Linked DNA regions of Mus musculus: all the other regions are reported to be linked to region 1. Evidence: microRNA targets listed by miRTarBase, many of them from high-throughput screens and not tested one by one. Region 1 holds a microRNA gene; each other region holds the end of a gene's coding sequence.
The links. The annotated mature microRNA mmu-miR-3473c reads UCUCUCCAGCCCCCAUAAUAAG and lies in region 1 at 4,202-4,223, opposite strand. An mRNA with a match to its seed (bases 2 to 7 or 8) in the 3' UTR can be bound and repressed. Matches are read on the target gene's strand: a 7mer-m8 pairs with bases 2 to 8, a 7mer-A1 pairs with bases 2 to 7 and ends in A, and an 8mer does both.

Region 2: the mRNA of Golga7b is a reported target of mmu-miR-3473c. Seed matches in the 3' UTR shown: 7mer-A1 at 4,860-4,866 and 7mer-m8 at 4,233-4,239.
Region 3: miRTarBase lists Kctd1 as a target of mmu-miR-3473c. Seed matches in the 3' UTR shown: 7mer-A1 at 5,653-5,659 and 7mer-A1 at 5,637-5,643.
Region 4: the mRNA of Ndrg1 is a reported target of mmu-miR-3473c. Seed matches in the 3' UTR shown: 7mer-A1 at 3,723-3,729.

The regions. Positions count from the first base shown.
Region 1 is chr1:191,994,401-192,001,624 of GRCm38, forward strand. It overlaps Mir3473c (microRNA 3473c), which reads right to left and starts at 4,234; the gene lies at 4,154-4,234. Traf5 (TNF receptor-associated factor 5) reads right to left here. Exons shown (of 14, transcript NM_011633.2): 13 at 5,398-5,568; 14 at 2,803-3,607. The coding sequence ends at 3,030.
Region 2 is chr19:42,266,439-42,274,333 of GRCm38, reverse strand. Golga7b (golgi autoantigen, golgin subfamily a, 7B) reads right to left here. Exons shown (of 5, transcript NM_027694.2): 3 at 7,431-7,583; 4 at 7,256-7,357; 5 at 3,986-5,982. The coding sequence ends at 5,872. Among named protein-coding and RNA genes, the nearest start is that of Gm34347, 6.7 kb to the left of the region's middle.
Region 3 is chr18:14,963,635-14,971,529 of GRCm38, forward strand. It overlaps Kctd1 (potassium channel tetramerisation domain containing 1), which reads right to left. Exons shown (of 5, transcript NM_001142731.1): 5 at 5,051-6,061. The coding sequence ends at 5,903. Among named protein-coding and RNA genes, the nearest start is that of 4933424G05Rik, 21 kb to the right of the region's middle.
Region 4 is chr15:66,926,285-66,934,179 of GRCm38, reverse strand. It overlaps Ndrg1 (N-myc downstream regulated gene 1), which reads left to right. Exons shown (of 16, transcript NM_008681.2): 15 at 265-316; 16 at 3,072-4,862. The coding sequence ends at 3,313. Among named protein-coding and RNA genes, the nearest start is that of Ccn4, 39 kb to the right of the region's middle.

The sequences.
Region 1 (7,224 bases):
ATGAATCACTGGCCTGGTTCGGGGGGGTCTCTGGCTTCTGTGACCCCATCAATATTGGCTCCTCATTAGGATTACTTCTGTTGCTGATCTGTGTCATGGAGATCCTGCAGCTCTGAATCAGTAAGACTGGCCTTTTCAATGTATCCCAGCAATTTGCAGATGATATCTGGGTGGCCCCTGAGCTGGTCAGTGCGCTGACTGGCTCTCCCTTATCTGTACTGCAACACAAGCTCTGAGCACTGCTCTGGCTAGTCCACCCAGTGCTGCCATCGACAGGAGGCAGCCGCAGCTTTCCTGCTCTCATGCCCTTAGGCCTGCTCACCCACACCTACGCCTCCAGAGCTAGCTCCACTGTGCTGCCTGGTCAAGGTGCTGGGCCCAAGATAAGAATATTTTTAGGATGCTTTTTTGCAAGCACATCTTGGAAAACACAACACACGGGTGTGGCTGCATGGGATGGAAAGTGAATTAGAGGCGGTGCTTGTTTGCTTTTCCATCCCAGGACACAGTACCCCAGAACCACAGCTCAGGATGGAGAACTCAGCTCAGCTCACAGCCTCAGAAGCTCCATGCTCTCTCGGCTTCACGGACTTGGGCCTGTGGTGAGGCAGAGTGTTATGGTGGAAGGGCATTTAGATCTGAGAAAGTGGAGGGAGGGGCAGGTGAAGAGGCGAGGGACAAGACATGCCCTTCAAAGGCATAGCCCAGCGACCCACTTCCTCCAGCTGGGTCTCATTACCACCCATAATGCCGTTAGTAATGGATCAATGGAATCGACCACTGATGAAGGGAGATGCCACACATACACACCACACATACACACACACACTATACACACACACACTATACACACACACACACTATACACACACACACACGTATATATACATATATATGTATATATATGTATGTATATACACATACATACAGACAGACATGAAATAGTGAACAAACCACAGAACCCCCCCCAGTCTGGCCTGTGGGCTAGAGACTGGACTCCTAGATTACTCTAAGTACATGGCCATCACTGCTCACCAGCAAAGGTACAGTGTATTTCTATGCTACATCTGCTTTTTCAACTTCCATCCTTTGGGACAAGTCCTGTGGCGTGGCTCTAGAATCTTCACTGATCACAGAAGAGATTAAGAGGATTGTTGGACTCACAGAGGCTAGTCAGGTAAGCAGTTTCTACTTAAAAGCAGTATTTTATTTTGTGTGGCTGGGTGCTTTGCCTGCATGCATGTCTGCAAACATGGATGCAGTACCCACAGAGGCCAGAAGAGGGCACCGAATCCCTTGGAATTTGAGTTACAGGTGGTTGTGAGCCTTCCGAGTGAGTGCTAGAAATTGAAATTGTGTCCTCTGAAAGAGCAGCCGGCAGTCTTGACTGCTGAATCATCTCTTGAGCCCCATGTTTTACTTTTAAGATTCATTTATGGTTGTCTATCTGTGAGCATCTATGTGAAGGTGTGTGCAGATGCCCACAGAGGCCAGAGAGAGGACATCAGATGTCGGAGCTGGAGTGCCACCTGACATGGGCACTGTGAACTGAATTCAGATTCTCTGGAAGAGCGGCAAGCACCCTTAGCCACTGAGCCATCTCTGCAGCCCAGGTTCTGTCTCTTACACAGGTTAAGCGCCATCTACAAGAGCATAGCCTCCCCTGTGCCTCTAACGTGACCCTTGTCCCAGGACACTTGTCCTTCCGTGCTTAGGAGCCAATGTTACATGAGCAGTGGAGGATGGCACGGATCCCATTTTCAGTCAGGGCAGGAGGGCAGATCAGTCTGAGGCTTACTGAGCTGAAGGGACAGACAGACCCAAAAGACCAGCGGGTCTCAACCTTCCCAAGGCTGTGACCCTTTAACGCAGCCCCTCATGTTGTGGTGACCCCTAACCATAAGATAATTTTTGTTGCTACTTCATAACTGTAATTCTGCTACTGTTATGAATGGTAATGCAAATATCTGTGATTTCTGATGGTCTCAGGCAACCCCCGAGAAAGGATCATTTGACCCCCAAAGGGGTCGTAACTCACAGGTTGAGAACCACTGCAAAGACAGATCTACAAGAACCCGGTCATTTCTGCTCTCAGAGCACTCAAAATGTTGACAGGAAACTCCGCAAGTTTCTACAAATGCTCATTTTTTGGTCAGCATATGAATTTAAAAGTTCTTCCAGAAGAACAGAAGGGTTCAGACAGCTGCTATCCATGGTGAACAGGTTCCCCTTTTGTCCTTTTCTCATATTTTTCTCTGTCATAACAAATTTGCTCATCCTCACACCCACTGCCATGCAAAGGTCACCTGGCTGAGTTGTGTGAACTGGTATAGTTGACAATTTTACCTAAGAAAATACTTCTCACCTGGTCAAACCTAATGAACTCTGAACTTTCGGTTCACTAAACATCCACTCCTTGGCACCCATTGTGTTAGTGGAGAAGGACGAAGAGCCGACCCATTTCCTAGCTGTTATACAACTTGGCAAACTGTGCTTACATGCAGCTAGTGGATCCTGTATAAAACACAAAAGGGCGATGCGATTTCCAAGCGGTTGGCATCTCCCTGAAGATCTGTGGTCCAAATGCAGCATATGTAGCTACACTGCCCACACTTGACTGGCACAGCCTGCCTGTCTCTTACAAGATGGCTGCTGCAGGCCTAGGCTCAGGTGTGGAAGCACTGAGTCAGCTGATAAATGACAACGAGTGTCAGTGGGAATTCTGCCCCTGTATCAGTCCCGTTGAGCACTGGACTCCCTGAAAACACTTCCCAGACTTCAGTGAGAGAGAGGAGCCCCAGGCCTTGTTGTCAAATTATTATAATTTTTTGGAAGATACAAAAATATAAATAACAGCAATATTTCAAGAGTTTAAAGTTTCAAACCAGGGAAGGATCCAAGATAAAAAGATGACACATCAGACATCGGAGGCAGGAAGACAAGAACAAGAGCCTGCTCAGTCCAGAGGGCTGCGCCCAAGGGACAGCCACACCTTTTCCTGTGCTGAGAAGTTTCCTTATCAGGTAACACTACAGATCCTCCAAGTCAGTTAAATCCACGGCCACTTTCAAGAACAGTGTGTCGTCTTTAATGTAGGTGTTCTTGGAGTTCTCCAGAGTAGAGTGCGACACAAAGCGGGGACAGCCAGAGGCAATGTTCATCTCGCCATCTGGCCTTTTGAAGCTGCTGCTGTTGGGGTCAGCTTTGAAGGTCTCCACAATATGGTTCTTCTTGCCGCTCTGGTCCAAAAGCATCAGGGTCACCCTCTGCCTGAACGGCCACTGCAGCAGCGAGTCAAACTCACCGCGCATCACCACAAAGTACAGGGACAGGTGCGTTCCCTTCCCCGACCCGTCCCCGTTCAGGTACGCCCTGGCACAGAGCCGGTAGCCGCAGCGGCTGGTGTAGAAAGGCTGGCTGAAGACGGACACTGTGTGCCCCTCCACGGCCTCCCTCTTCTTCACCCTGTAATCTGTCACCTTCCAGATGAGCTTGCCACTGTAGCAGGCGCCCTCCAGCTGCTTAAACCGCTCTTCGTTCTTATTCAGCTGTGCTTTGTGGATATTAATGTGTGCGTCGTGCTTGCTGGTCTCCCCCTCTAAAAGAACTGGAAGGAAACACAGGACAGGAGGCTGCAGCTCGGGCCTGTCATCTGAGCACTACCTGTGAACTACTACATGCATTGCTAACATTAACTCAATCGTGGTAAGCTGACGCCAAGCAGACATGGATGTATCCTCCCTCTTCACTCTCAGCTTGCCTGAGTATAAGACACATTGGACATTCACCTCGAGTGAATTCTCATGCTGAGCCTTGTGCCCGTCTAACTGTGTGTGTTTGTGTGTGTGTGCATGCATGCACACGAGTGTGCTTGTGATGTAAGTGTCTGTGCATACTTGCATGTGTTTGGCTGTGAGGTGCTTGTGGCATACAGAGGCCAGAGGTTGATACTGAGTGTCTTCCCCAGTAGTATTTCAGTCTTTTGATGTAGTTCTCTCACTGAATTAAACCCTGATATTCTGGCTAGCTTGTCCTGGAGATCCTGTGTCAGCCTCCAGAGTGCTAGGACCACAGGTAGCCCTCCAGTCCACTCAGCAATCACATGGCTACAAGGATCCAAATTCTAGGTCATGTGTGCAGCAAGTGTGTTATCTACTGAGCCATCTCCCCAACTCCTATAATGAATTTTACATTTAAAAGACTTATTATGGGGGCTGGAGAGATGGCTCAGCAGTTAAGAGCACTGACTGCTCTTCTAGAGGCCCTGAGTTCAAATCCCAGGAACCACATGGTGGCTCACAACCATCTGTAATCAGATCTGATTCCCTCTTCTGGTGTGTCTGAAGAGAGCAACAGTGTACTCACATACATAAAACAAATAAATAAATATCTTTATAAAGTCTTATTATTATTGTTATTGTTGTTACTGTTGGTGGTGCGTGCGTGCGTGCGTGCGTGCGTGCGTGCGTGTGTGTGTGTGTGTGTGTGTGTGTGTAAGTGAAGGCATGTACACCATAGTATACATGTGAAGGTCATAGAACAACTTTCAATAGTTGGTTCTTTCTCTCCACTGTGTGGGTTCCAGAGATCAAACTCTGGGTGTTATAGTTTCAATGAGTTGTGTGTCCTAAGTCCTAAGCATTGGAATACTTGGTCCCCAGTTGGTGGGTTGTTTGGGGAGGATTAGGAGGTGTGGTCTTATTGGAGGAGGTGTGGTCTTGTTGGAGGTGTGGTCTTGTTGGAGGAGGTGTGGTCTTGCTGGAGGAGGTGTGGTCTTGTTGGAGGAGGTGTGGTCTTGTTGGAGGAAGTGTGGTCTAGTTGGAGGAGGTGTGGTCTTGTTGGAGGAGGTGTGTCACTGGGCTTGGGGTTTCAGCAGCTGCTCCAGTGCCATGCCTGCCTGCCTGCTGTTTCTCTATGAGATGGTGGTAAATTCTTATTTCTCTGCAATCATAAGCCCAAATAACACTTCCTCCTACAAGTTACCTTGGTCATGGTGCTTTGTCACAGCAACAGAGAAGCCACTGATACACTGGTCATCTCGATTGCATAGCAAATCACCTGCTAAGCAATCTCACTGGCCCCAGTGCACCAAAGCCTAAGACACCCATCACCTCTCTCCCTTGTTCTTAATGATTACCACTCCCAGCTCTTGGGACTGCCTGGGCCATTTCAGTCTCGTCTGACTCCACACACATGGTGGAGACCCTCATTTTCTGAGGCAGCTAGAATCTCATGCTGCTTCACAAACAGGATTCAGCCACTGGGCAACCCAGAAAGCTGGTTGTGACTTGTTAGCTTCTACCACAAATGCACACAGACAGGGAAGCCATGAGAGGGAACCCGACTGCTTCATACACACACACACACACACACACACACACACACACACACACGTACCTAATCTCTGGTCACTGGCTTCCAGCTGGGTGATCCTCTGTTTCACGCTGTCAACCGCATCCACCAAAGACCTCAGATCAAGTCGACTTGGCTGCTGGTTAACTATTTGTAGCAGCTGCCGCACCTGCGCTTCCAGCCAAGCTGACTTGTCCGTGTGACTGGTGAGAGCCTTGCGGTACAAAAAAGAGAATATGTCTTGGAAACGAGACATCGGATTTGTAGCGTGTTGACTGAATTTTAACACAAACATTTCACATAGAATGATCCACTCATGAAATGGAAGTGGCAGTGTCCAGAGAGGGGGTTCAGTGGACATGGCAGAGTCAGCAGCTGCCATCTTCTTCTTCCTTTCCAGGCTGGACTCCTCTGGTGAATTTCTGAGCTTTCCCCGATGTGTCTAAAGTCTCCCCTCCATGTATTCACATGCACTTTGTGGCCCTCTTGCCTTAGCCTTGCTTCCCTCAGAAGAAAGTTTCCTTTCTGTAAGGAGGTCAAGATTGGGCAGGAGCAGGCAGAGCCTACACACTCTATGGATCTTTCACATGGAGGATATTAATCTGTCTGCCTTGCCCATATAGTCTTAATTCCACCCTATTGCTCTCTGTTTAGGAAAATGTCAGAACTAATAGTGTGATAGGTTCCTTTTTTTTTCCTAGACATACTAACACATACATATACATATGTGCACACACATCTGCACATACGTGCCCAGCACATGTAGAACAGGTGCATACATGTATGTATATATGTATATGCTGTGGTGAAGAAGAATAAAGCTTCTATGGCCTAGATTTCCTGGAACAATACACATTTCAAACACATTGCCCATGTTATATGTCTTTAAATCACTACAAATCTGGTCATGAGAGAACTTTTATTTGTTAGGGGTCCATTTGTGGTTAGTTAACATTCAGGATTCATCGAGTGATGTTTAAGGCATGCCCTTCCCAAAGGGAATTAATGATTTTACACACATACCATGGAAGTATGGTATAAACGTTGCATTTACCAGCATGGGTATAGATATACTCATGTACGAGACAGTGTTACTGTCAGCTGCAGAGGGCCACACACATGCGGTATTCTCTCTGGTGGTCCTTGGCCACACCCAGAAGAGACAAGGGTGCCAGAAACAGAGCAAATGGGACGAAGTGCTGAATGGGATGTGGGAGAGCTGCACTGGTGCCCCTGGCATCACCCACGTCTGGTGGCTTTTCTATGCATTTGAAATGGTTTTCATGTTAAAAGCTAAGAAGAAAACCCCTTGCTGCTCACTAAAAGCTGATCATAGCTTTGAATGGAAAAAGCCATATCTCACCCGGATGTTCTTTCTTTTCTTTAAAAGATTTATAGTTAGGCTCATTCATCTTATTTGATGTGAATGTTTTGCCTGCATGTATGTCTGTGAACTTCATATGTGCTTGGTGTCCGCAAAGGTCAAAGTTGGGTATTGGATCCCTGGAACTGGAGTTATGGATGGTTGTGAACTCCCTACCATGTATGTGCTGGGAATTGAACCTAGGTCCGCTGCAGGAGCAGCGAGTGCTCTTAACTGCTGAGCTATCTCTCCAGCCCTTCTCTTCTTATTCTTCTTCTTTTTTTAAAAAGATTTTATTTATTTATTATATATAAGTACACTGTAGCTGTCTTCAGACACACCAGAAGAGAGCATCAGATCTCATTACAGATGGTTGTGGGGCACCATGTGGTTTCTGGGATTTGAACTCAGGATCTCTGGAAGAGCAGTCAGTGCTCTTAAACTCTGAGCCATCTCTTCAGCCCCTCTTCTTTTCCTTTAAAAAATTATTTATGTGTATGTGCCTGAGT
Region 2 (7,895 bases), not on the chromosome of region 1:
GGAGCAGAGACCAGAACTTCCAGAAGCCTGAAGTCCAAGGGTCCAAATGTCTGACCCACTCAATTTTCAGACGGCATCAGCAGGTCTCACTCAGCCCCTGAAGGATCAGCCTCAGGGTCACATCTGTTTCTCTTTCTGTGGGGTATATATATCCATCCTCTATGGAGAGGAAACTAATTTATTCTGCCACATGCTTCAGGAATACTGAACCTTGTGATCGGATAGCTGTGTGTCTCACACTAAGGGAGGAGGAACAGAACCCACGTTTTTCACTAAGAAGGAGCAGATCATGTGAATAGAGAGGGTCTTCCACAGCTACAAATGGTGGTGGTAAAGGTGAGTGTCCAGCACAAGCCAGGTGCTGCACTGACTAACCTCCAAGCCACCAAGCCACCGTTGACCCATCTAATGCCCTTTGAACTTTCCTATCCACGTACTTCCCGGATCTTTGCGTAGCTAAGGTTTATTTGCAGGCCGTATCCCGTGCTAGGTAGGTAAGCACTTGACTACATCCAGACTGAAGCTAAGGGTGGAGTGGCATGCAGACATGTGGATTGTTTCTCTGAGTCTCTAACATTGGCAGGCTATTACTGCATCTTGATGCCTTAACTTGATGCCTTAACAGATATCCTGGGGAAAGCCCCACAGGACACTGGACAGCAGACAAGTGTTAGGTCGGTGCTGAAAGTGGGGTTCAAGGGTGTGCTCCACATGGCTTCTCCAGCAGGACCTGTCTGGAGGAGACAATGGCAGGAGGGGAAATCAGAGAAGGGAGCAGAGGAGGTAGGAACAGCTGAGGGAGGGCACCTAAAAACTCAGGAGTCGAGAACAAGATTGTCTGAGTGCAGTATTTTTTCAAATTACAACTAAAAAAATATTAATAATGACTTAAAAGCCACAATGTTTAAGAAAGACACAATTAATATTCTGATCTTTCCTCCCCCCCCCCCAGGCTCCCCTTAGAGTCTGTGAGTGGGAGGAAAAGACTATGGAGTTGGTGGCAGAGCTGTCTGGGAAGATATCAAACACTTTTATAAATATCCCCAATAAACAGCAAACAGGAGAGGCGCGCGCGCACACACACACACACACACACACACACACACACACTCTTCATATGTTGAATTGCAACTGCCTGGGTTAACACGAGGCATGCTAATAGATCTTCAGTAAACCATGAATTCTAGTGTTTTGCTTTCTTTTCCTACCTTGGAGCAAATACACTTTTTTGTTTAATTTTATCAGACAATAAAACACAGAAAGATGCACAGAGCTCATGTATTCAGTACACTGACTTTTTAAGAAGTGAGGGCCCGGTGCGCTACCAGCTCTCCAGACCTCCTCTCCTCCACCTCAGATAGACAATTTCGTCTCTCTTTGAACTTGTTCCAGGCTGGGTCTGATTACTTTTGTGGAGCCAGTGTTTTTAATCCAGGTCTCATGATTAGGTCTGAACGGTTGTGTGAAGTGTTTCCTGTGTGATGATGGAGAAAGCCGAGGCTGCCTCTAATGCTGGCCCACATCTTGAAGTCAGGGCTCAAAGCCAGATTTTGTTTGGAGCCACGTTTTCACTAGCTTGTCCTTGGAATAGAAGGCAAAGGCCAGGTGAGGGTCCTTCCTTCGGGGACCTCACAGGAAGTGTCGGGGGCTGGGGGGAACCTGGCAGGGCCTGGAGCAGCTGAAGCTGACTGTGGGGAGAAAGAGTGATTGTCGCAGGATCTCTGCCTGGACTCACAATTCTAGACACCGCAAAGAACTTCCAGGCCACAACAGCTATACTGGCTTAGGGTGGTTGGCTTTTCAGTAGTCTTTTGGCTCTTGGCTGCAGTACATGATCCCACCACTTGGCGGCACTCGAACTTATAGAAACCCTGTAGTCTTCGTATCACACAGGCTGTCTTTGACCAAAGGAAGAAAGGCAATGAATGCACTGAAACTTGCGTGGAGTGTGTCAGGATGGCTGTGCCCTTCAGAGGGAACCAGGGAAGACCTGCCCTTTGTGGCTTGTGTCTGCTTAGCAAGGGGAAGTGACATGGCTGCGACCAGCCAGAGGGGACAGGCCACCGCTTGAAAAACTGAGGCAGCAGAGAGAGCCACACACTTCACCAGATCTGCAAAATCAGGTCTCCCCTGCCATTCACTGAGCTGTCCCTGTGAGTACTACATGCCTGTGCACACAGCCCACCCATAATTCTGTGCTCCTGGGGCATGGAGGTGCCAGGCCTGCCTCAGAACCTAGAGACACAAATAGACCCAGGTCCTTCCTTGGGAATCTACGACTCTGGTCTCTGAGTATCTAAGGGACCCTTGAAACTAGATTCACCCATGTGCCTTTCTGCAGTCTGCAGCCTCCTCTTTAGATCCAAAGCCAAGCTCTGCTACTTAATTGTGTGATTTGGGGTCATTTAACTTCTGTGAGCCTCCTCTGTAAAATGGGTATAGTAACACACACCATGGAAAGTTCACCAGAAGGCCCAAGCAGTGAATTATGTGGTGGCTTAGTCTCGTGCACACACGATAAGCCTCAAACAAATACGACCATGTTTCTTCCTTAAAAAGAAATGTTCTTTTAATATGTACGAGTGTTTACCTGCATGTACCATGTGTGTGCCTGGTGCCAGAGGAAGTCAGAAGGTGCCAGGTCTCCTGGAACTAGAGTCACAGGCGTGATCAGCCATGTGGGTGCCGGGAAGTGAACTCAGGCCCTCTGGAAGTGCTCTCAACTGCTGGGCCATCTCTCCAGCATGGCTACCCTTTTTATCTCCTTCATCCTTGCCCTTTAAAAGTGGGAGAGCTGAATGCCTCTCAGCCAGTCAAGCAAGGTGGTGGGTAGGGGGAGCGGGTGAATTTTTGCCAGTTTGGAAATCCCCCACCATCTGCAGGCCTTCCTCTCTAAAGTTTGGCTGAGGTTTAAACCTGACCTCAAGCTACAGCCAACTTCCCCCCAAAGCAGAACTCAAGCAGGACCTCCCTGCCACCGACCGGAGCAGCTCACCAACCCCACCCACCCACACACACCCGAAGACTCAGCAGAGACAGAGGCCCAGGCTCCCCCGGGTGCTCAGGCACCAGCCATGTGTCCCCTAGTAGCAGCAACCGGAAGCTCCTGAGTTACCCCTCAGAAGAGACCTCCTTCGTGACCCCACTCCAGGACACCCCCTGTGGTCTATCGAGGTCCCTTCTGGAACAGACCCTTGACCCACAGATCTGTGTACATGGCCCAGCCCGCCAAAACCTCGGACAACTTTCTACCTGGGAGTAAATCCATTTTAACTCCACAGGCTCTATGGTGGTGCATGTTATTCAACCTCTCTGGACCTTTTGAGAAGACTCAGCTAATCTTCAAATCCCTCCTCATCCCCAGAATACGGTTTTATCGAAGTGTCTGGTATATCATAGGTGATTAATAAATGCTTAATCTGGTGAAACTCCAGCTATAGGCTATGCTAGTTTCCAATATCTTCCTGCTTTCTAATATTTTTAAAATTTTAATGTAGTCACACGGGGTGGGGGGGGTACCATTCTGTGATGCACGTGTATGGAGATCAGAGGACAATTTTAAGGAGTCAGTTCTCTTTGTCCGTCTTTACCTGGGTTCCAGAGCCCAAACTCGGGTCACTAGGCTTATGTGGCGAGCATTTCACTGGCTGAGTCTCCTTGCCAGCCCCTTCTAGTCCTCCACACTGAACCGCCCACCTGTGTGACTCAACCCCAGACAGTGCCTGACCTAGGGTAAGAACTCAAGTAACAGGCCCTCCCTATCTCAATGATAAATTACTCTTGGCTTAGCTTTTATTTGACCCTACTGGCTCCACCCGAAGTTGCAAATCTACCAAAGGTTAAGGGCTGGTAGAGGGACCTGGACAGTTCCCCCTCTTCACTGTCCCATACACTCCAAGGGCACAGTGTATCAGTCCTGCATGCCATCTGCTGCTTCCTCACACCCACACCCAGTGTCTCCTTGGATGGCCTGGTGGAAACAGCATGGAGCCTCAAGCTGGCAAGTCCTTTTATTGGGAACAGAATAAAACAAAAGGTCTCCCTCCATTTTGCCTCTTCCCAACCTTCCCAACAGGCTGTGCAAAGTCAGACAGGACGCCTGGCTGCACAGCAGGCTACAGAGGGCACAGGCTTCTGCAGGGGATCGGGGGCTGCAGCTCGGAAAGAAGGGGTTCATTGCACCAGGGCTCATGGGGCTCGGGCACCCTGAGGCGTCAGGGGCTTGGCCAGCCCTCTCCATCCGCAGCACAGTCTCCTGCTGTAGAGAGACAGGCCCTTTCAGCTCCAGGAAGCTGCTGATAGTGGCTGGTGATTCCTGTCTAGTTCTAGCACCTCCTGCCCGCTGAGGTAGGCAGCCCCTTTCTGTCCATCTTAAGGCCCCAGGATGCATCACCTTCAACTTAGCTCCCCTAGGGAGCCATGGCTCCATTCGCTTTTCCTCGCAAGGCACATTTGCCTTGAATGTCCGGGGAAGCTTCATCTACAAGGGCCTCAGGGTCCTGACACCTGGGCAGGCTGAATATGCAGCATCTGTGGCCCCACTGTGCCATGGGGGCTGGGAGAGGGGCACCAAAGACCACCTAAACGCTGGCTTGGTTCTCCTGGGAGCCCAACAATCCCTCCATCAGAATGTGTACAATAGAGCCAGAGGTGGGAGAAAGGCCAAGAGGAAGAGCCAAGCTGACAGCCCAGCTTTAGAACATTGACTTACAGAGGGCCAGGAGGGACTCACAGAGAGGCTCTGCAGACCAATGTGAGACAGGATGGGGCAGGACTCAGTAGTCATTAGCCCAGCAGCCAAAGAGAACACACAACGACACAACCGAATCTCTCTCTCTCTCTCTCTCTCTCTCTCTCTCTCTCTCCCCACACACACACACAAACACATGCATACTTACACATAGACATGTATACTCACGCAATACACTTGTGCACACGCATACATAATTTGCATGCACGTGTTGCACACATGCACTTACCTTCTCCCTCATTCACTCAGATAAACATAGGTTCACGCACATGTGCACATACACACATTGACTTGTGCAGTCATACATATACAGGCACTCATATTCATACCCTTGTTTGCTCACATGTGTACATGCTTAGCCACCCATACAAATACATACATACATTTGCGCACACAGTGCACTCCACATGTATGCACACGATGCAGGAATTGGATCCAGTTCAGGAGTTCAAGCTCTGTCCAGCTTCATTCGTCCAAAGTTTTCCCATACCCCAGTGGAGCCCATCAGAGTCCTAGGCTGAACCCCTAAAATCAGTTCCTGGTGGGGTGCAAAGTCTCAGAGTTGGGTGCTTCTTGGCAAGGCTGAGAGAACTTTCGGCTCTGAGGACAGGAAAGTCACTGCCTTTGGAGCGGCTGAATAGCTCCCAGGGCACCCATCTCCCCAGATCTCCAGTGAAGAGATGGGACCACTGACAAGCAGGAGCCCATAGTAGCGTTGGGCCTTAGAAAGAGTCTTTGAGGGTGAAGTATCATGCAGGGTGGGAATTCTCCAGGCCCTCCTTAGAGTGAGGAAGGAGGCAGGAAAGATAGGGTTTGTCCAAGCTGGGTCCCCCACCCCCACCCCAGACATCCTAGGACGGTCTGGGTCTGATGACTCAGATCAGCCTCATGGGAGAAAAAAAAAAAAAAAAAAAAAGGTCCAGGGTCAGAAAGAAGAAGATCCTGCCAAGGAGCAAAGGTCTGGGGACAGGGAACAGCGGGCAGGCACCCTCCCTTCCGCACCACATGGCAGGGTGGGCCCAGAGAAAGACTCAGAAGCGGGTGCTCTGGTAGCGCAGCCTCCGTAGATCTGCCAGCCCCTCGCTCCGGCTGTACACCTCCCTACAGGGACTCTCGGCCAGTCACCGGGCCCCCGCCCCTCCCCCGCCAGCGCTGCTGCTGCCGCTGCCGCTGCTGCTGCCGCTACTGGAACTACCACTGCTGCACCGGTCCTCATAGATGGAGATCTCGATCTGGGACGATAGTTAAGGAGCTTCGAGCACCCGGCTGCTAACCAAAGAACGGAGTACAGACCCAGAACGAGCCTGTGACCTGAAGCACTCTATTCCCAAAGACCAGAGGCCTGACTAAAATCCAAACCCTTCTCCAAGCCTCAGCTAACAGTTTCTGAGAGGACAGAGGGCTGAGTGCACAACGGGATCCCATGGACAGATTCTGGCTTTCTTCGAGATGCACTGGGAAATGGTGTTAGATACAAACACTTCCCTTTCCATATCCCTAATGGCCCACTCCAGTTAGGCCAGGCCAGGCCAGTCCCTTCACCTGCTAACAGTCAATTATTACATCTGCAAAGTGGGGACACTAACAGCGCCTTGAGGTTCCTGTGAAAATTAAATGGAGTACCTGAGTACTGAACACAACACAAGAACTCAGGAAAAAAAGAATCGGGGGAAATATGTGTGTTTCTGGGGACTATGTTTTCTGAACTCTTCTCTCAGCTTTATTGTAAAATATATTATTTTAACTACTGCACGGGGAGCTATTCACCTGAACTACTGTTCCAAGTGGGGTCGGCAGAACCCATCCACCCCCTGCCCGGCCTGTCACCAAGACAGCCAACCCATACAGCAACCCCATCCTGCCGCTCATTTTGATCTTCTGTATTCAGTGGAGAGTGGGACTCAACACAGGCTATTCAAGGAGATTGTGGAAGCCGTGCAGACTCTTCAAGTACCAGAAAGTATTACAGGTTAAGAGAGCCTGGGCTCAAATCCTAACTGTGACAATCTGCTGCTTGAAGGTAAGTGATTGAGCCAGCTTCTCTTCAACATCCTGGTACACACCGGAGGCTAGGAAAGGCCCGACCTCTTGGGAATGAGATGGACATCACATGATATGGTATTTTTCTTTTTCTTTTTTTCTTTCTTTCTTGTTTTGTTTTGTTTTGTTTTGTTTTGTTTTGTTTTTGTTTTGGTTTCTCTGTATAGCCCTGGCTTTCCTGGAACTCACTTTGTAGACCAGGCTGGTCTCGAACTCGAGATGGTATTTTTCAAAGCCTTTGCATGGTGGCTGACCTGTTTTAAGCACCAATGGCATGCAGTTCAATAAATACCAAGCCTGAAACTCACATGTGACTCCAATAACTAACGGTGAAAGACGCCTACAGCCAGTGGGTTGTGGGATCCCGGAAGGCCCTTAGGGAGGCTCCCATTTCCTATCGACATCCTCAAGGAGCCCGTTGGGTAGACAACTCTGCACCTCGTGTAGAAGAGCGCGGAAGGATACAACCCTCATTCCGCGTTCCACCGGATCCGTGAGCAGGAGCCCTCGGGGAGCAAAGACCTTCTCATTCTGCTCCTGGATGTAACGGGAAATCTTCTTGAGAACCTGCAGAAACAGGGGTCCTTAAAGACGAGCCTGTGGCAAGGTAGCTGGGGAAGGGGAGATGGGGAATCCACACCTTCTCATAGTGGGTCTCCATGCAGAGGAAGATGAAGTAGGCCGTGGCGCAGGCCAGGCAGCCCTCCAGATAGGAGCTGCCCCCGATCTTCTCAGCCTCCGCATAAAAACCATTGAGGGTCTTCACCGTCTCCTCAAAGAGCTGCCGCTCAATCTGGAGAGAGAAGGGCAGACTGTTAGTCTCCCCAGCCTGGGGACAATCCCCAGCGGCGTGGGATAACAGTCCTGGGGCTGCGTGGCTGGGAGGGGGTGAAATAGTGTCACACAGGCATGACTGAGAGGCTGCAAGCAGAATAGACAGAGCTCAGGAGCAGGAGACCTGGTCCTGGTCTCCTGATTTGGAAGGAGACCTGTCCGAACTTGCCCATGAGCTAGCCGTGTGGCCCTGCCTGAGTGGCTTGTCCATACCGTGTTGGTTTCCGGTAGGATGAGAACCAACATGACTTTTGGCCTCCCTTGGAAACAG
Region 3 (7,895 bases), not on the chromosome of region 1:
CCAGTGCTCTTCACTGCTGAGCTGTGTCTCCATCCTGATTTCTAGGTTTTGCAGAAAAGTACTTTGAAATGCACCCCTAGTCTCCTATGGATGAGGCTTTCTGCAGTTGAAAAGGGGCTGGCTTTCTGAATGGGCAATGTATGCTACAGGTTTCTGCCTCTTGTTAATAGTTGATATGGTTTGCCTGGCCCTACAGGCACCCGAGTGTCACCCTGATGTCCAAGATAATGACTTCTTTTCTCATACATCCTAATGGGTGACAGCTCTCAGCCCAGTTTGTAGCAGATGGATGGATGGATGGATGGATGGATGGATGGATGGATGGATGGATGGAGAAAGCAACCACTTCATTGTCTTTCATATCAACAGACTCTTCTTAGCCAGTCAGGTCAGCAGAGCCCCTAGATCTTCTCAGCCTTCCTAACGCTGTGACTCTCTAACAACAGCTCCTCATGTTGTGCCCACCCTAACCATAAAGTTATTTTGTGGCTACATCATAACTATAATTTTGCTACAGCTATGAATCGTACTGTAAACATCTGCTATGAAGGATATCTGGCCCACAGCTGAGAACTGCCGCCCTAGATGGATATCAATCTGTAGGGCCACCTTCCATGACTTTCCAGCAGGTGGGATTTAGACTCAAGTTCAGTTCAACCTCCACCAGCGGATTCTATTTCTATTTTCTAGCCTATTTGTTTTATCTCCAGCATAGCTGAGCTGCACCCCACACAGTGTTTTATCCCTGACGTATCCAAAGCTCAGGGGCAGCCTCCGCTCTGCAAACCCTATCATCCTGCCGTGTGCTACCCTGAGGGCATCTTCTCTGGTTTTTGTTTTTTCCTAGATGTGACCCCTGATAATTTGGCACACTTCTAGTCCATGCCTTATAAATAGGAAATGAAGTGCATCCCAGTGCGTTGGACTGTGGTTAGATAATTAGATACTCCCATTCTGCCACTGGATGTGAGAACCCTGCTCACTACACCTCAGCATCTAGGGCAGAAACGAGGTCATTGTCATCAAAATATAACCAAAACTAAGGGTACAGTCTATTATATGGGATGCTCAAAGTATTTGTCATTAGGAATCCATTTTCCAACTAAGAAGCAGATGATTGATAACCAACTTTAGGGGCTGGAGAGATGGCTCAGTGATTAAGGGTGCTTTCTGATCTTGCAAAAAAAAAAAGTGGCCTTTGGTTTTTAATACCCACACTGGGTGGTTTATACCTGCTTATAACTCCAGCTCCAAGGGATCTGCAACTCTGGCCTCTCAGGGCACCTGCACACAGGTAATGAACTTAAAGAGTCAACTTTAAGATCAGAGAATTGGATCACTAGACGAAGGCACTTGCCATCAAGCATGAAAAGCCAGGTTCTGTGCAATCCCCAGGACCCATACGGTAGAAGGCACGACTGCCTCTCACAACTCACTCATGGACCTCCAAACTACTGTGGCACACGTATGCACACAACAACAACATACAAATAAATACATATAGTTAAAAAAAGAAGCTGTTTGTAGTCCTCTAATGCTGCACCGTGAAACGTATTTTTCCTTGCTGCTGTGGTTTCCTTTGAGGCTCCTATAAAAGCTTAATGGAACGTTAACTTCCGCTGTGCTCTTTACTTGATGTCTCAGAGTCTTAGTTACCTGAAGTACTTCAGTTCATCTTCTTGCCACTCAAGCTCTGCATAGCTCCTGGCACACCAAGCATGCCCAATGCCTGACAGCGCATGGTTCTTATTCCTATGTAGAGAGCAACCTACAAGTTGGAACCAAGTTTGGGCTTGCTCTATTTTCCCAAAGTATTTCTTAAGAAAGGGCAGGTCAGAGACTGTGGTTTGTCTACCCCGTGCTAAACAAATGTATTTTTCTTCTGTATAAAAAGTAGTTATTTTAAAAATCAGTGGTTTAGCCATTCAAAGAAGTACACTTTTATGATTTTTATAACCAACAAGGTAAAAATTATTGAAAATCCTGGTAATGTATGGTAAAACCATCAGACATATATGTGGATTAATTAACAATTATGAAGAGAAAAACCAAGTTGTACATCTGGTGGAGGTCACTTTATGCAAACTGGCTAGGCATGGTGGCACATGTTTATTTCCAGTACTCAGGAGGCAGAGGCAGGCTCCACAGAGGGAGTTCCAGGCCCTCGAGGGCTATATGGTGAGAGCTTGACTCAAACTATAACAACAACAACAACAACAACAACAAAAATTGTCATCATCAACAAGAAACAAGGCAACTCTTAGGATGTGATGCAGTAAGGACAGGACACTAGCTATGCAGTGTTCTTGCAGAAAAAGAAAATCCTCATCTGACTCTACCGAGGAAACAGTTAGGTAGATCCAAGCCTTTACACTGTGTTACCAAAGAAGTGAGCTAGACACAGTCAGCTATAGGATGGAACACAGGGCCCCCAATGGAGGAGCTAGAGAAAGCACCCAAGGAGCTAAAGGGATCTGCAACCCTATAGGTGGAACAACATTATGAACTAACCAGTACCCCCGGAGCTCGTGTCTCTAGCTGCATATGTAGCAGAAGATGGCCTAGTCGGCCATCATTGGGAAGAGAGGCCCCTTGGTCTTGCAAACTTTATATGCCCCAGTACAGGGAAACACCAAGGCCAAGAAGTGGGAGTGGGTGGGTAGGGGAGCAGGGCGGGGGGAGGGTATAGGGAACTTTCGGAATAGTATTTGAAATGTAAATAAAGAAAATATCTAATAAAAAATAAAAATAAGTTAAAAAAAGTGAGCTAGACCCTTTAGATGGGCCCTCCTCTTAAAAACTTCTCAGAAGGAGTCTAAAGAGACACTATTGATAACTGTCACATGCAATCCTTGATCAAATCCTCAAGGAGGACAAACCACAGCTGTCCAGGTTGCTATAAGCTCAGGCGGTCAGATTTGCATGTGAACTATATATTAGAGAGTGAGAAGGGAGTGAGACTTTGAGGCTGTGGCCTGCTAACCCACTGCTTCTGAAGTGTAGAGGGTCTGGAGATCTTACTAGAACTAAGAGCATCATGAATACAAAGGGAATTGGTTCCACTGAGCTCAATCTCCTGAGCTTGGAGTCACATAAACTGTCTTTAAAAACTTAGAAATGACCATGAAATCACAGTCAGGGCACACAGTTCTGTGAGGTACAAGTACTGTGGGGGAGGCAATTCTAACTGCAGACGATGCTGAGTGAATATCAAGTATTGTGTCCATGTGTATGCAGGTGCATGTGCGCCTTGTGTGAAGGCAGAGTACCTTTTTGTTTACAGGTTTCTCCATAGTCTGGAACTTTGCTGAGTTGACTTGGCCAGCTGGCCAGCAAGCTCTAGGGATCTGCCTGCCTTACCTCTCCAGCCTTGCCTCCCCAGCACTGGAATTATAAGTGTGTGCTATCTGTCACTGAGCCCGACCTTTTGCACGGGGTCTGGGGCTCAAACTCACATCCTCACATCTGCAAGGCACACTTTACTGACTGAGCCATCTCCCCAGCACTAACTGGAAACTCGATTGTCACCAATAGAATTCCAGAGCAGGGCCTCTGTTTTACTGGTTTGGAGCTGTCTTGTCTAATGAAAATAGATTGCTAGTAAGAACCAGGGTAAATTTTCATCCTTGCAGTAGTACAGGGATGCCAGAGCAGCTGGCAGGGCAGCCCTGGCTGTCTGCGTCGGATCCTGTGGTTTATTATCTCATCTGAGGGGACATTAGGGAAGAGTGTGGCAGCCTTGTTGGCAATCACTAAAGAAATTCAACGTGCGGGCTGCCTCTGTGTTTCCGAGAGGGGCAGCAGACATTAACAGCTTACTTCTAGTCCCAGTAGCCATGATATTTTCATTACTGCTGTCCTCAGGCACAGACTTTTTAATTTAAAACAGGAAGGTAAGTTCAGGATGGAAATAGCCCATCACCAGAGGAGCATCGCCGCACCAAAATCACATTATAGCTCACCTGCCAATCTTAGCAGCATGCCAGGTGCTTTGGGGTGTCTGGAAGGAGGATGTAAGAAAGGAAGGTAGCAGAAAGGCAAACTGGAAGGAAAGAAGGAAGGAAAACTGGAATCACCACTGCCCTGAAATGGCTGAGGACTTGACTTTGAAGTACGATGGACTCCTAGGTTTACGACTTTCTGACTGGTAAGAATGATCGCTTTGGCCGCAGCATTTCCCCTTATCACTTGCAAAGTTATAACACCCTTCTTTTGGCTGATAACGATAGTGGGTTCAAGTAGGCTGCAAATTTGTTGTTATTCTCCTCAGCAGGTGGGTCTTATGCCCTTCTTCTCAGTCTGAACTGGTTATGTCTGCTCAGAAAACAGGACAGAGTCACAGCACAGGTCGGGGCATGGCCTCTTACAGGACTGCACTCCCTACAGCTCGCTTCTTAGAGTACTTACAGAGGCAACTTGATGAAGGGGTCTTAGCCACAGGGAGCCTCACAGTCATATGGATGGATATCTGCCTTGGACATCGTAGCCCTGCCGACTCTCTGGATGGTATCATATACAGCAGGGGCAGGCCAACCAAGACCAGTCGTGTGCCTGAGGATCCCAGGATCACAAGCTAAGAACACATGCTAAGCCGCCCACCCAATATTTATCTGGCTACCTCTGCAGCAAGAAATCTAAGTGAGACTCAAAAGTTTGTAGGAATAAAGATCAGAGTCCAGGCATGGTAGTACAAACATAGAATCCCAGAATCTGAGATGGAGGCCGGAGGACCAGAAGTCAAGACCTTCTTGGGTGACAGTGATTCCGAGTTCTGCCTAGGCTACCTGAGCCTCCTCCAGTGAGGAGGTCCAGAGAGGGGTCTGAGGAAGTAGCTCAGTGGTAGAATTCACACTTAGCTTGAACGAGGCCCTGGTTTCCTTCCTCATCCTCCTCATAAGACAGAATGACAAAGCACAGGAAACATTTGCTACGTTGAAAGAGAACTGTGTAGAACAAATTGCTACACCCTTATCTTTTTTGTGCTTTTGACTTTAAAGCTAGCTCTAGCTGTTAAGACCACTTTTTGATGTTCAACACAAGAGAGAGAAAATAAAAGGAAAAATTTCATTTTAATTCATTCTCATCCCAACATGTGTGTTCTACACAGATCTCAGTTTTTTTAAAACAGAGTTTATTGTATTTAATACATTATAAAATCTGAAAAAATTGTAGGAAAGCAGCAGACTGAAACTGGAGATCTCTAGCAAGTAATAACTCTGGCCCCTCTGCCAAACGATCAGCATAAAAACAAAGGAAAGGTCGCGGCTGTGCGGTGGACAAAAGTGCCAGTCCTGTACAGACTGCAGTCAGATGTCCTGTCTACCGCACGTCCCGTGTGGTGTGCTCTTGAGTGGTTCTCTGAACTCCCTTCTGGTCCCTACCTGACCAGACACAAAACCTCCACTTGCAAAGGAACACCAGCCCAGGTGTTTTGTTTATTTGTTTAAAAAAAAGAAAAGAACAATAAAGAAAAAAGAAACAATTGATGGCTGCTGGCAATGAAGCAGTAAGGAGACTGTCCTCCCTGCTCATGGCTTATTTACTGGACAGAGACCTCAGAGGCCCAGAACACCACGGTCATCACAGCACCCACTGCGTTCTCTCTCTCTCTCTCTCTCTCTCTCTCTCTCTCTCTCTCTCTCCCTCTCTCTCTCTCTCCTTGCATTTCCTACCTTTTGACATATAGATATTTATATATTTATATATTTTTTTACATCTTGAGGATATCATGATTCCAATTGTTCCCATATGAATACAGGTGTGATTTCTAGTGGATATAAATGTCTTTTATTCAATTTTAGGTTCAGAGCTTGGTTTACTGTCCCAGCTGCACACAAATGTCCCTTTTCTCATATTGTTATTGGTTGTGTATGTTTTCTTTTTGCATAAGAAATATGTCTGTTTAGTCCAGTGGCTCCTGTTTTATCCGGATGACTGAGGGTACTCGGGGTGTCCGCCTCAGTTCCCGTCGGAGGACATATTCACTGAACTGGGACGAGTCCACTCCTCCTCCACAGGAACCCACAATTTCAAATCCTCTTTGCTGCAACCGCTCAAGGACCTGTAAAAAACCAAAATAGGCGTCTGCTTAGGGGCAAGGCATAGACACACCAAAGATGCGTGCCAAAGCTCAATTCCTGTACACTCAAGAATGAAGGCAATGGTTTTTCACTAGAAAATATACCCCAAATTAAGCTATTTCTAACAGAGCCATCACTCAGTTGTAGAGTGCTTGCCCAGCATGTATAGGGCCATGGTTTTGAGCCCTAGTGCTGCAAACAAACAAGAAGATTCTGTAACGGTCCAGTTTCGGCTCCACGGCCTGTTATTAACTCTGAAGTCAAATGCTAGCTGGGTCCTTGCATTCGGTACATGTCCGACACTCTCTGATGCAGGAAGCCATCTCTGCAACTCCGAGATAGGGAAAGTACAGGAAGCTGAGTGAATTCTGCTTTTCAGCAATGCAACAGATAGAGCATTGGATATAATTAAATTCCACATAACGTGAAAGGAAAGGGATACCATAGACCATAACTTTAAAAATAAACATGTTTCATTTCTTTCCTGGAATGGAGTAAACTGCTGTTAAATAACTCCACAAATGTCAATAATGTGAGAGGCAAAGAGAGGAGGGCCAAGAGTGTGGAACTAGCCTGGGCTACAGAGTGAGAGTCTGGCTGAAAACAGGCAAGCAAAACCCTAAATGTAACTAAACAAAGCAATCCTAATTCTAATTAATTAGTTAACTGTAGCACTGGGAATTGAACCCAGGACCTTGTGCATGCTAGGCAAGCACTCTACCACTGAGCTACATTTCTGGTTTCTTAAGTTATTGTTTTTCATCACCAACTTTTATAAGTAACACAGAAGCAACATAACGATCTAGAAGAGATTGGAAAAACAAGAGTATGTGCTCCAAACATGCAAACCAGAGACTGAGAACGGTGGCCAGCCCTCCCCAGGGTATCCCTCAGTTTGTGCAGGTGAATTCACTGCACATATCTGTGCTCATTGGCCTAAGCACAGGATGATGATGGGACCCATCCCTAACTCAAGTTCCAGGTGCTCTGGTGGCTGGTGAATACAGTGGCTGAAAACAGCTCTCTGAGAAGACGCTGAGGATGGAGTTGAACCTGTGTAAGAGCTGCCTCAGTGTGCTTTGAAAGGATCTTCTGCCCCATTAGGAGAGGACATGTGAGTGTGAGGAGCCATCAGACAGTAATGAGCCTTCTTCCTCCCCAGAGGTTATCATACACAGACTGTGACGAGTATCTGGAATGATCCTGTGCTGGCTTCCATGTGGTCCAGTGCTTGTTTCAATGCCATGTACACAACTTAGGAAGTCACTGTTTTGTTTTTTAAATATTTTTCCATTTATTTATTTACTTACATATTCAGTGTGTGTGTATGTGTGTATGTGTGTGTCCATCCATAAAGGTCAGATGACAATTTATGGAAGTCATCTTTCTTCTTCTACTCTGTGAGTCCCAGGAATTAAGCTCAAGTTAACAAGCTTGAAGGCAAGAATCTCTTCCCGATGAGCTAACTCACAAGGCCTGGACTTATTACTAACTAAACAGCAAGTCCAAAGCAGACGTTGTTAGGTTTAGAAATGTTTTGGGAATGTTTAAATAATTGAGTGTATCAGGTATGTCATGCCCTGTCCCTAAATCTCTGTGGACTGACAGATGGGTATCTTTCTCTGGGTGGTGGGTAGAGTCAAAGCAAGAATGGGTTGGGCTTCATTGAATGAGGAAGCTGCTTCAGGTGAAATGTGCACAGCTGCTCTGGCCAGCAGATCAGGCATATGAAAGATGAAAGGTGTTCCCTGGCCAAGGGGTGGGGCTAAGATCTTACTTGGCTCTGAATGCTATGGTCAGCTTGCTACGGAACAT
Region 4 (7,895 bases), not on the chromosome of region 1:
TGAAGAAAATACCTAATTTTTTAAAAAAAAAGAAAGAAAGAAATCTTGGAAGTTATCCATGCCCTTTCAACAATGAGGCAGGTTTAAGCTGGTCAAAACTGATTCTGGTCCCCACGAGCATCCTGGGTTTTTCTTCCACTTCTATGCTTTTCCTGTTTACATGTTGTGGCTCCATCTTGGGCCAGAGCTCTAGCTTACAGGTACAGGTGACCCAGGATGATCTATATCTCCAGCCATTGACTTCACTCTCTCTCTCTCCTACAGCCCGCCAAGCTTGCTGAGGCCTTCAAGTACTTTGTGCAGGGCATGGGATACAGTGAGTATAACATCTTGGGCACAGAAAGGTGTTGGGGTGGTAATGTCATAGTCAGTGGGGGCTGGAGAGGGCTCTGTCATCTTGGCTGGCTTCAGCTCTTAAGCACTAGGCAAGTCTAAGAAGGAGTAGTAACAATCACACATGGCTGAATGAGGAATGGATCAGCACCCAGTTTGGTTTTTGTGCTGCATATGTCACACAGCAAACTAAGATGGTGCTAGCCTATCTGTGCAGCGTGTTCTCAGAGGACCTCATCGTGTGTTCAGTCTGATTTTATATCTATATAGATATAAATATACACATATCTATATCTATATAGATATAGATAGAAGAAGTTGCTTCACATCTGACATTTATTTAGCTTTACATGAGAACATTTAAAAACCATTTGATGCAAGAATGAGACAATATTGTTGTTGGCAAGGCTGGTCTTTGAACTCCTAATAGTCCTCTTGCCTCAGTCGCCCAAGTGCTAGGATTACAGACAAGAAGCACTATTCTAGGCTAGGACTATCTCTTTAAACACCACCATTGCCAACAATAACAACAAAAAACCACAAACCCAACAACAACCAAAACAATGACCAGCAGCTGAATAAGGAATGCCCCTAATTTTGATCACATGCTCACTCAGGAGACCAGCAGTTGTAGCAACGATAGAGATGATAACGGTGATGAAGGATTAATAAGGATTTTTGTCTCCTTTAACCATACCATCATAATAATCCTAGAAGGGAGAGGCTAAGCAGGCCGCAAAGAGGTTTGAAGCTGATTGAGCCAGAGCTCTATGTAAGAGGGAGCCCAGAGTGCCTGAGATCGAAGGTAGGGTGCTTCCTTGATAGATCACTTTTTAAAAAAGATCTATTTATTTATTATATGTAAGTACACTGTAGCTGTCTCCAGACACTCCAGAAGAAGGAGTCAGATCTCACTACGGATGGTTGTGAGCCACCACGTGGTTGCTGGAATTTGAACTCAGGTGCTTCAAGAAGAGCAGTCAGTGCTCTTTACCACTGAACCATCTCCCCAGCCATCTTTGCTAGATCATTATATCAAGGAACTGAAGGACTGAGCACCCCGCTGTATCCTGCTTTAAGCTTAGAGTGAGCTTGTCATTCAGGCAGTCCCATAGATCTAGGAGAAAAATAAAAGGGAGAGACACAGACCCAAAGGGTGGGTTGCTGAAACAGAAGGTTCCAGCTCACAGGCTGCCTGCCTGTGATCCTGGGCTCCTAAGACTCGTCCATTGTGTGTCTGGTGTCATGGGAAGCTGTCATTTCCTGGTGAGGTCATCAGGACTCAGAGATTTGGGTGGAGAAATCGAGACGCAGGAACAAACATAGGGGTCACAGATGTGCCCTGACCCTACCTCTTTCTGAATTAAAAACAGGCTGTTCTGAGATGGTATACTTCTGTTGTCTCAGCATTTGGAATGAAGAAGTGGAAGGATAGTGAATTCAAGGTCTTCCCAGCTACACAGAGAGTTTAAGGCCAGCCTGGGATAAATGGAGCTTTGCTCAAAACCAAAAACTAATGGATAAAAACAACAACCAGGAAGAAAAGGAAAGAAAGGAAAAGGAAGGAAAGGAAAGGAAAGGAAAGGAAAGGAAAGAAAGAGGGAAAGAAAGAAAGAGAAGGGGAGAGAGAAAAGAAGGAAGAAAGGAAGAAAGGGAAAGTCAGACAGACAGACAAACCAGGAACAACACTAATTCTTTAAGGAGTGAATTCCACTGAGCAAGGACTAATCCAATTTTGGGTGTCTGATCTAGGGCTGTGCTTCATTGGGGTGTGGCATTAGTCACCCCAATGAGTAACCTAAGAGATCCCCACAAATAAAGCTCTTAAGCGTCAAGAATGCATTTTTCCTACAACTTCAGAGGCTGCAAATCTGAGGTCAAGGTTTGGACAGGGCTGGGCTCACTTTTCAAGGCCCTTTCTTGCCTTCTGGATTCTGCTGACTACATCATAGGCCTTCTGTGGCTTCTGGCTGCATTACACCAATCTCTCCATCCATATGGGGTGGCTCTCTCTTGTTTTCTTTTTAATGATATTGGGCTTTAGATTAGGGATCATTCTAATCCAGAAGGACCTTGTCTTAACTAAATATCTCTAAGTATTCCAAACAAGGTCATATTCTGAAGTTTCAGGTGAGCATGAATTTGGGGGGAGCACTGCCACCCTAGATAGGAGGAGGATTGTCTTGTATCCCATTCTGTCAGTCATCTGCTGTGGTATGCGCAGTTTTGGTCATGCTAAGGTTTGAGAGCTAGCAGGCTTTTGGAAGGCAGACAGATGGCTAACATTTCCTTAGGAACCATGTGGTGAGACCTTGGGGGTTATTCTTGGGATGTGCAGGAACTAACCTTGCTGGCTTCCACATTCTACTGCCTACTGACAGTACATTTAAGAGGAGGTTACACGAAGTCTTCATTTTGCAAATGAAAATGGGAAGGCTTCAAGTGTGATGATCTGGTGGTCACCTAGCTAATAAGCACATAACAAACTGGGGGTCAGACCCAGGTCATGGCTCAGGACTCTTGCCATGTAATTGTTATGTGCCTTTCCCACATATTGGACTTTACTGTCCTCTTTGTGAGTGACACAGAAGGTAGATGGCTCACAGGATGAAGACAATAGAGAAGTGGTGTTCAGCTGGGCTCTTACGATTAACTGTCATGGCTGGCAGCCAGGGGTAGAGTCCCACACCTGTAGAGGCTTCCTGTATCCTAACCATATTTGTCTTCTGTGTTCCCAGTGCCTTCTGCCAGCATGACTCGCCTGATGCGGTCCCGCACAGCCTCTGGCTCCAGTGTCACATCCCTGGAGGGCACCCGTAGCCGCTCCCATACCAGCGAGGGCCCCCGAAGCCGCTCGCACACCAGTGAGGGGTCCCGTAGCCGCTCCCATACCAGTGAGGATGCCCGTCTCAACATCACCCCCAACTCGGGTGCCACCGGAAACAATGCCGGGCCCAAGTCCATGGAGGTGTCCTGCTAAGCAATCTGTGCATCAGTCACCCTGGACTGGTGGCCTCTCCCTTAGCCCCCAACCCTTGCCTGCCACCCTACGCTAATGCGGTATTAATCTAAAGCTGCTTTTGTAAGAATGAACTCTGGCGGTGGCAGACCCAGGCTGTTCTGACTGCCTCCTGGGACCAGGGTGGGTGGTGGTGGACCAAAGGCAAGAAGCAGTTCAGCGTACTGTTCTGCTAACAAGTGGCCTGGTGGACCCTCTCTCTACCCTCAGACACCAAACTGCCAAAACTAAGAAATAGATAGCTGTAACACTGCCTGGCTCCAAGCCCAGGCTGATCCAGCATTCTGGTTCATAGGCGTTTTGCCAACCTGCCTACTTCCTGTTTCCTCCCCACTAAACTCATTCCTGGAAACAAACTTCTGTTTTGAAAGGAGAGAGAGAGGCAGGAAAGTTGGGCGCCTTATTTTAAGTAGAGAAACCAAGAAAGGAAGAGAAAAAAAGGCAGGGTCTAGGGCAGGTAGAGGAAAAACACAACAAGTCTACTAGGCTCACTTGAAGGAATTGATTTTAAAGTTCTGGACACTGAAACCCACAACCTGTTTTTCTGGCAACCTTTTAACGTGCAAGAAAAACTGGTAACAAACCCCAGGCTTTATAGAGAAAGTGATCCAGCAAATGTGGGGCATCAGTGATTTAAGACTCTTGCTATGCAGTCTACTGTACCCCGCTCCCATTCCACAGTGAATGAGTGGATGACACCTCTGTCCCTCGGGAAGATGGTTTTGATTTGTTGTTGCATTCTTTGAGGCAGAGGGAGAACCCAGCAGGTGACAGGGGTCCTTGTCTGGGATGAGTCTTTAGGATGGGAAGGGTGGGGATAGAATGGCCCTGGGATTTTGAGGACTCATGGTAGGGCCAAGTGCTAGAACCTGGTGGGTGTGATTTCATTGATCTGGAATCTTGTGTGACTGAGTCACACCTTGTCTCCCATAATTGATGTCTGGCATTGATTTGAAACTTGATAGCTGAATGTCTCTTAACTGGCCCATCGCTGGTTCTTCAGAGAGAACCGTATGTTCTAGTGGGGGAAGGACTGGTTTTGGGTTCTGTACATTCCACGGGAACTTGCTTCCCTCTCCTGCCCCTCCTGCTGACTGGGTTTGTAGCATTGGCCTCTTAAGCAATGCCAGCCTAATGCCCATGCTCCATACTACTGCCTTTTGATTCTTACTGTGGCTAACCTTGAACCTTTCCTATAGGAAATGTGATCAGATCAGAGACACTTGATCGTTGGGAGTCAGCCCTCAAGGCCTGGCGACTTCCAGGATCTTGGAGTTGCTAGAGGAAAAGTAGTTATGCCCTATAGGCGGCATGAGAGACAAGGGATCAGTTTACCTGCCAACTCCTACCGTGGAGGAGGAGTTCCACTGACCTTGTGTAGAAAGATCAGGAATCCAGGCCAGGGTGATTGAATGCTGACAAGAAATCACTGTATATGTCTCTCCAGGGCAGTTTCTTAATAAGATGTTTGTATTTATTTCCAGACCAATAAATTTGTAACTTTGCAGTGGCTTGTGTCTTTTCCTCTCCCTATGAGGGTGGGTGTGGCATTGTGGAGCAGGAAGGGGTGGAACTTTATCCTTGACACCAGAGCCCCTGCTGCGTGCCCCTTACTTTTGGAGTTCTTTGCCACAGAATGACACTGACCAGTAGAAATGGCACTGTCTGTCATATAGGTTTCTAAACTTTCTGGTAGTGATATTGAAGGAAGAAGAATCAGGCGAAAATAAGTTAGGCATCCCTGTAGCCTAATATATCAACTAACATCATTTCTATGCAAGCAGTCAGGCACATCTTTTTCTGCAGTAAGGAATTCAGTGTGCAGGCAGCCTTGCCACACACCAGGCACCTAGTAGCAGGTCACCATAGTGATGAGAGAACACTTTTCAAGCTGGAAGAAGAGGGAAGCATATAGGTTAAAAGTGACTCCTGTTCTCACGTTCCATGGGAGATGTTTGCTTTGTATGTTTGGTATATATGTGTGTTGTATGCATTGTTGCACTTGCGTGTACGTTTCATGGCCTGAGGTTGGCATTGGGTGTCTCTCTCTCTCTGTATTGCTCTCCATTTTACTGTTTTTGAGACAGACACAGCTGCATGTTTGCATACCTGGTGCTACCCAGGGTTAGTTTGTCTGAAGGTACCTCTCCATCTGAAGAATCTATTTCCCACCCGGATGATTGTTTATGGGAGGCCACACAGTAATGGTTGGGAGCCTGTAGAGGGTGAGTGTTGTCTGCTAAGTAACTGCTTCCAAGAAAGTGAGGAGGACAGGGAGAGGAGCTCCTGGGCACCCCAGCATATATGATGACTCTGGCTGGGGACCAAGGTCATCTCACCTCTGAGAGCCCATGCTGTGATGTGGCCCTTGACAACATGCAACAAAGACACTTGACTTGGAAGATGGCTCAGTTGGTAAAATACTTCCCTTGCAAGTGTGATAACCTGAATTCAATTCCCCATAGCTCACATTAAAAAAAAAAAAGCTAGGGTAGCAGGCTCTGTGTTTAACAACATTGGCTGTTGTTCTAGAGCACCCAGTTCAACTTGAAGCACCCACATAGTGGTTTATAAGTGTCTGTAACTCCATTTCCTGGGATCAGTACCCTCTCTACATAGGCACAGAACACACATGTGGTACAGACTTAAATGCAGGCAAAACATCTACACACATAAAATACTTCTGGTGGTACATGCTTGTCATCCCAGTGCTGGAAAGGTAGAGATAGAAAGATCACTGAGGGTACTCTGGCCAGTTAGGTTAGCCCACTTGATGAATTCCAGGCCAAAGAGAGGCTGTGTCTCCAGCATAAGTAAGACAGAGCAAAAGGACAGATTATCCTCTAGCCCAAGAGCACAAAAATGTATTCGCACAAGAAGGGGCACTTGACTTCTGTGGCCGTCCTCCAGCTAAGGAAAACCTTATACAGATCTCACGTGAGTCTTGGCAATGGTGTTTTATAACAGCAATAAAAAAGTAACTAAGATGGGCTCCAAAGAATCAGTGAAGTTGAGTTGATGAATTAACAGTGACATCATTTATTGACGGACAAGTCCATTGGTACAGATACCATTGTCATTTATCCTTGCTCTGAGAAGTGATCCCTGAATGGTCAGCATTCCTAGGAAGCAAGGAGATTTGCAGATATGAAAAGTGCTGATGCATGCTGTATACTACCTTATTTTCCTCACTCATAAACTAGTGATTATTTTTTTAAGAATGTATATTATATTTATTGAGTGTGTATTTGTGTGTGTGCAGGTGTGTGTGTGCTTGGAGGCCTGATGTCAATGTCAGACATCTCCCTTCATTGCTCACTATCTTATCCTTTGAGGCAGAGTCTTTTACTGAATCCTGGACTCATAGATTTGGCTAGACTGGCTGGCCAGTGAGCTCCAGGGGAGTCTTCACTCTCCAGAAAGAGTAGTTTTCAAACTTCAAAGAGACTGAATAGCTTTAACGAGCCATTTTCAGTGGATTATTATCTCCCTGCCTATAAATGGCTCACACCCTCCCCTATCAATGTCTGGGGATGCGGGAATATCAGTGAGCTCCAGGGATCAGAACTGTGGGCCTGAAAGGTTTTCACTGGCTCAACGTACCTTTGTTCTTCCATTAAATGGTCCTGCTTGGACTTGCAAGATACAATAGCTTTGATGTGGTTTTGGGTTACCCTCCCTTCCCTCTGCTGGCACTTCTTATATTATCAGTGAGCGTGCTTCTAGCAGCTCTTGCTCCTTTTACTGAAATGGATGAAGAAACCCACATTTTTTTCTTGTATTATATAAAAGGCAGAATAATGAGGCTTAGAGTGTAGAGCCTGAGATATGCTGTGTAGAGTGTACCAAATGGTGAAAAGACTGTGCCAGCATCTCCTTAGAATCCACATGTGATAGAAAGAGACAAGATTCCAGCAGGGCATGGATTTCTAAGTACAAGTGTCACTAAGGTATGAATAAGTAGGTGGACAATAAGAGAGATAGATAGATAAATAGACAAATAGATAGATACATAGATACAGATACATAGATACATAGATGATAGATAATAGAAGATGACAGATAGGTAGATAGATGGATAGATAGATAGACAGACAGACAGACATATAAATAAATGGAAAGAAGATAATTGATAGGTAGGTGATACCTGGAGATATAGGAAAGATTTATGATAGATAGATAGATAGACAGACAGAAAGATGATACATACATACATATATACATACATAGATATACTTCTTACTTTTTGAGAAAGAGGCCTTCCTGCTCTGTTGGCCAGGCTGGCCTCAATACTGTAGACCCAGGAAGTTGTTATGCCTTAGCCTATGGAGCATGATGACAGGTTCTCCAACTCTACCTAGAAATCACTATATATGTTTTCACGATTTCCTTCAGGTCTCATTTTCTCCAATTTCAACCAGATAATACTGAGTAATATTGAGTAAAGTCCATTCATTCCCCCTGAGTCTGATGCACTCATAGGACTCTGGACTGCAACTACAAATTTGTTTTAAATCCTACTTTATATTTTGATTACTTCACA